Tribolium castaneum: one gene and its partner. The protein of the gene in region 2 interacts with the protein of the main gene of each other region in a pairwise test. Links are inferred from orthologs where the notes say so. Each region holds a gene or a part of one and is shown on either strand. Other genes may lie near its edges.

Evidence for each region.
Region 1: the proteins of Prosalpha7 (region 2) and Hr38 interact in a two-hybrid assay, tested with the Caenorhabditis elegans proteins (2 studies listed by BioGRID). The link is inferred for Tribolium castaneum from reciprocal best matches to the Caenorhabditis elegans genes pas-7 and nhr-6.

What each region holds. Positions count from the first base shown.
Region 1 is NC_087398.1:2,570,201-2,573,177, reverse strand, and holds the end of Hr38 (probable nuclear hormone receptor HR38), read right to left. Parts: intron 2,642-2,977; coding exon 2,385-2,641; 3' UTR 634-2,384; downstream 1-633. UniProt on the Caenorhabditis elegans protein: Transcriptional activator that induces gene expression by binding to the NGFI-B response element (NBRE) 5'-AAAGGTCA-3'. Required for proper morphogenesis of the spermatheca and the spermatheca-uterine valve formation.
Region 2 is NC_087402.1:4,014,613-4,017,867, forward strand, and holds Prosalpha7 (proteasome subunit alpha type-3), read left to right. Parts: upstream 1-1,617; 5' UTR 1,618-1,756; coding exon 1,757-1,777; intron 1,778-1,827; coding exon 1,828-2,034; intron 2,035-2,088; coding exon 2,089-2,334; intron 2,335-2,384; coding exon 2,385-2,497; intron 2,498-2,544; coding exon 2,545-2,722; 3' UTR 2,723-2,755; downstream 2,756-3,255. Other genes in the region: cleavage and polyadenylation specificity factor subunit 6, read left to right, coding at 1-530, 586-763; NTPase (ectonucleoside triphosphate diphosphohydrolase 5), read left to right, coding at 3,146-3,175.

The DNA.
Region 1 (2,977 bases), on a different chromosome or scaffold from region 2:
GAGGGATGTTTACAAAATGCAGGAAATACTTAGGCAAATGAAGTTGATTGCCTTCAGAATGCGTTCGCTATACCTCTCTGAGCTGAATCTTTTAATACACATCGTCGCATAAAAACCCGTTGGTATGTACCCACCTCAAGATATTCGGCTGTTATAATTATGTCTATCATTCAGCTCTTTCATATGCTAATTAATGAGATCCTGAAATACTTACTGATAGCTTTTTCTCGTGATTAATTATGATTCAGCGTCAAGTTAATTGTATAATTTTGAATAGGACAGACGTCATTCGAGAAAACGTATAAGGAGAGCTATGAAGCTGTAATTTTTTCTGACAAAGAATGCGATTTTTAATTCAATTTATGGCATAGCTGAGATAAGGTATTTTAGTTTACTAATTATGGCTGTGTATGTAGATAAAGCTTTGAAATAATGGCTAATTTTTTCAGAGTGAATACTCGGTGTAATTTATAGATTTCATGAATCTTTTTACAGCATAATTATTCGTAATTTGCTGTCAATAACTATTAAATAAAGTAGTCGTTATTAATTAGAGGAAGCCGGTTTAATGTGCAGCTTCTGGTGGTTTAACTGCATGAAAAATTGCTAGGAGTGGGAAAGTACAAAAGAATGTTACTTCATAACTTTTATTAAATCAAATAAAATTGTTACAATATATTTCATATACCTAACAAAAAGAAAAAGGTAAAAGGCAATGATATGATAAATAAGTAAACTGTAAATGGTTAAATACATTATAATGATATATCTAAATCTGCGAAATAATTGCTGTAGTAATTGTTCACTTAAGTATATCATTACTTTTCGATAGAATCAGGTAAAAACTAACACATACGATTACACATAATCTACAGAGCTGTAGAATATAGGATTTGTTGGTAACTATATCTAACATAATTTAAAACTTAAAAAATCTAATCTAGTCAATACAGCAAGTAAAAACTGGCATTTAATGGCAAGTTTCATGTCAATAATAAATTTATAAAATGTAGTTAACAAGTTGTGCTTTAAGTACGATAGGTGGTTAACCTATCAAAAAAAAGTATTAATGCCTATAACATGGTAAAAAAGTTCTTTTTGGAAAATAATCCATAGCGATCGTCGATTAAGTACACATATTTTCTCCAAAATATACAAAACAGATAGAAATAAAGCAGGTACAAAATTCTAGAGATGACGAATATTGCAAGGTTCCCGTTTGCCCGAACCGTATGCTAAAAAAATAGCAATTATATCTCTATATTAGCATCTTATTTACAATAAATTATTTTCTTAAATTCCTTGAACGAAGCCGTTAGTGCGAAAAGGACATCAACTAAAGCTCTTGTATATTTTCTTTAAGACTATAATATTATAAGCGGACGGTGTAAGTTTTTTAAAGAATAAAGGTGCAGGTAACACCCAAATATCGACCATTCCTTCAGGTAACTCTCTTTTCAGTCCATCCGTTACGATCCAAGGCAGTTGTTGATATGAAATTATAGATATGAAATGGCACATTTAATTCTCAAGTCGACTGGTAACTAGCGCGAAATTAGTAAAACCCCCTCAAACTAGGAATCAATTCTACAATTTTGGTCAACATTTACAAGGGGAAAGCTCTCGACTATTCTTTAGTTTCATATAAAAATACACAAATAAAGCGAATATAAAAATTAAATAGTTGCAGGTAACTCCCGACAGGTAATTTATTACATAACTATTAAAATATAGAATTCTTTTTGTGTAAATAAAATATTTTTTTAAGTATGTACAGTGCCTTGACTAGGTATATCGCATATATTAGTGGTTCCACACGATTGTGTAGTGGTAACATTGAAAAAATAATAAAAGCTTACAATATATTACTATAACCCTAACTATCTTTATCACGTAAAGTTGTAACATAAGTTTCTGCTCTTAGAGTATTATCTTCAGGTTCGTTCTCTTGGTCGCGTATTCAAAATATAGTTCGTCACAAAGAAAAATTGTGACCATCAGAATCGAGTTCTGAGTGCCCGAGCACTAGAAACAGCAAACATCAATAGGTTGAACTAAGCCTACGAGAGTAAGCAACAATAATTTTTACAAAAAACGTAAAAAACATCGATAGTAGGTTACAGTGACGTGTTTCTCAAAGTGGAAAAGGTGTCTATCGTGCACAAGAACTGCAACACCAAAAGTTCTCAACATAATTCGAAATCTGGCGAAACTGCCCGAAAGTCCACCAGCCCCACCATCATCGTCCCAAAAAAGCGTCTTTTTTAGGCCGTGACCGGATTTTCGGGCAGTTCCCTCGCCCTCGGGAAAGACTAATACGTACGACCTATTTAACAAATCACATAGAAGAGTTTATCACGTTTCGAAAAATATCAACTAACAATTTAGAAAGGTAGGCTAGCTACGAACATCTTCTCGATGAGGGGAGGGGCCGGGACCAAGTCTTCCAGCTTCAGGTAAAAGATCCTCTGCAGTCCTTGCACGCTCAAGGACCTCAGCTCCGGCAGTTTGCCCAATAGCCGGCTAAAGTAGTGCGCCTTCCTCTGCGCCTCCGCGTTGTACGTCACATGATCCCTCAGCGAGGAGATTATCTTCATTTGGAGCTGCTCCACACGGTGGGGCTCCTTCAGACCGTGCCGCTCTGCAACAGGAGGTCCGTGGTAACAGCGCTTTCGCAACCGATTTATTTCAAGCATTCAAAATCCGAAATAAAAATTCAAACTTGCACAACGGCCAACACTTGCCAAACTGAATATTTTTAAACGTCCATCTCGATCGAAACCCGCTTCCGTGAAGATCAGTTTCGTTGCGAAACTCCTCAAAACCCGAGAATTTTAAACATTTGCTGAGTCAGCAGATTTCTCTTATTGCATGCTGAAGTTTTAACACAACATGCACAAAATTTGTTGATGGAGTCCAAACAAGCAATAAATTACGTTTTTTCGACACCGAGTCTATTTTTTAACGAGACGCCTCA
Region 2 (3,255 bases):
AGCATGCCGCAGCCACCGTATGGAGGCCCGCCTCCGGATCACCGCAACGATATGCCCCCAATAAGCGAACAAGAGTTTGAGGATATTATGTCAAGAAATCGGACGGTTTCGTCGTCGGCTATCGCTCGAGCGGTTTCGGATGCTGCCGCCGGCGAATACGCTAGCGCAATAGAGACATTGGTCACGGCTATATCTCTCATCAAACAATCGAAAGTCGCGAATGATGACAGGTGTAAGATTTTGATTAGCTCGTTACAGGATACTCTACGAGGTGTGGAGGATAAGAGTTACAGTTCGGGAAGAAGAGATCGGTCAAGATCGAGAGATAGAGCACACAGGAGAGGTCGTAGGGAACGATCGTCTTCAAGATATCGCGAAAGAAGCCGTGAAAGAGACAGAGATCGTGACAGGGACCGCGATAGAGATAGATACTATGCGGATAGTTACAGGGAGCGGGAGCGGGATAGATCCCGGAGTAGAGGAGACCGGGAACGGGAACGCGAATACAGAGACAGAGAAGCAGATGATGCGTAAGTGGTATTTTGCAACGACGTTGAGTAAATTATTAGTTTGGATTTTTTATAGGTCCCGTGTGTCCCGGTCCAGGAACAAGTCGCCTCCTGACGCAGTGGATCCCTCAGGAGAGCCGACATCGAAATCTCGTTATTACGAAGATAGATATCGTGAAAGGGAGGGACGTCGTGAAAGTGAACGGGAACGTGAAAGAGATCGTCGAGACGAATCTCATCGTTCTCGGCATTAACAATTTTTTAGGCCGCATTCGTAATATGTTGTACCATACATGTCATGCATGTAATGAAAAAAATATACTTATATAGTGTTAGGTCAAACTAGTACACATCTCTGAATTTCATTATGTAATCGAAATGTTTATTTTGTTTGTAATATCTAAACCTATTCTACAGAAGAAGAGTGAAGAAGACGCTTAATCTGAAGAAGATTGTATGTTTTAGATAAAAAATATGGTTTAGACTGAGAATGGATTTTTATTTTTCTCTTATTTGATTGATTAACCTACTTGATCCGTTATGTAATTTGTACTGTATCACCCCTTCACTTGTTTTTATTTATTTATTATTTAAACCTCTTGTAACATTTCTTGTTGTACACTTATCTAATTTATTTTGTTTTTTAGTTTGATGTATTTTAAAACGAAAAGGCTGTGAATAACTCATGTCAATTTACTAATTTACCATTCAAACCGACTGTTTGGCTTGAATGGTAAAGGAACGATCTTTCCAATCACTTCATGCGAATAGCTTTAAGGGTTGTGAATGTTGCCAAAATGTTTTTGTATTTTTATAAGTGATAGGTTTAGATAAATCAGCTTCGCATCTCATTACTCCGGAAGTTGATTTATTCAATTCCTGACCGCACTTTGAAAAAATTATTTTAATTTATATTTTTTATAATTTTGTAATTCCGCACCAAAATTGCCCGATTTTATTTCTCATTTGATTTGTAAAAACTAGTTAGGCTGATAACCGACCGTGGAAAAAATTCTCAACTCGAACCAAAGTACAAATGTAGTGTAATTTCTTTATACAATATAAATAATTTAACCATTCATGGTGTTGTTTCCCGAAACGCGGTCGTTACGGTCCTGTTCTTTGATAATTCCGCGAGTCATTTCAGAGGGCGCTCATTATTTGACAACCGTCAAAAGTGACATTTGTTGACTTGTCGAAACGCAAACTGCAAATCACGCCGAAATTTTCAAACTTTAATAAAAACAATGAGTTCAATAGGCACAGGCGTGAGTATTTACCAATTTAATATCAATTAAGACTGACTAGCAAGTTTTAGTATGATTTATCGGCGTCTCAATTTTCCCCCGATGGTCGAGTTTTCCAAGTGGAGTATGCGATGAAAGCCGTGGAAAATAGCGGCACCGTTATCGGTCTGAGAGGCAAAGATGGGGTTGTCTTAGCCGCCGAAAAACTAGTTATGTCGAAATTGCATGAGCCGGGCACCAACAAACGAATTTTCAACGTCGATAGACACGTTGGAATGGTACTTAGAGCCCCCCTTAAAACTCAAATATTTGACTAAAAACGCCTGTTTTAGGCGTTTTCGGGGCTTATTGCCGACGCCAGACAAATCGTGGACATTGCACGCCGCGAAGCTGCCAACTACAGGTCCCAGTATGGGGTCAGTATCCCCCTTAATTACCTCAACGATAGGGTCAGCATGTACATGCATGCCTACACTTTGTACAGTGCAGTCCGGCCCTATGGTTGCAGCGTGATTCTGGCGAGTTGTGGCGAAGAGGGCCCCACTATGTACACAATAGACCCCTCAGGAGTCAGTTATGTAAGTGTGCCCCCTCAAAAATTATTTTTTTTTGTAAATTTGTGATATAGGGCTACCATGGTTGTGCTATAGGCAAGGCGAAACAGTCAGCAAAAACCGAAATTGAAAAATTGAAATTGTCCGGAATGACTTGCAGAGAGCTGGTCAAAGAGGCGGCAAAAATGTAAATTTGACCGTTTGTGCGAGGAGTTATTTCATGGTTTGTTTCAGAATTTACTTAGTTCATGATGAGCTCAAAGATAAGAATTTTGAGTTGGAGTTGTCGTGGATGTGTGAAGAGAGTGGTGGAAGACATGAAAAAGTGCCTGAGCATGTATTTCTTGAGGCGGAAAAGGCCGCGAAACAAGCAATGGAGGCCGATTCAGATTCAGATACTGAGGATATGTAATTTTATTTTAAGTAATAAATTTCTAAAAAATGACATCTTCCTCTTTTTATTGTCAAAATGATCAAAAGGCGCATTTTCTGTCGCCTGAGGCGGAAGAACCCGTTGGGAGTCTCATACAGATTCCTCAGAAAGTGGCTATCAGAGGTACGAAAGTGCAAGTAATGACTGTTTTGAGGTTAGATACCAATTGTTGGCGACCTTATCAAATCGTTAGAAAATGAGTAGCTGTAAAGATAAACTAGTGAAGGACATGATAGTGCAACTTCTGCCGATTTAATTGCATTTATTTAGTCAATTTCTGCGAGTCAAAGTGCGCAGACACGTCCTTTTTGAGAATTCCATGCCAATCAATAATAAGGCAATTGTGTAAAATCTTCGCCGGCCTATATAATTTTATTTCTCCGATAAAAGCATCATTAAAACATGACCAACAACGAATTGCGTCGACGAAAGGTAAGAGCTCAAACCAAGATCAAACCTCCGTTCTATTAATAACTGATTTGGACTCGTGTCGTGCCGTAAAACCCAAACAT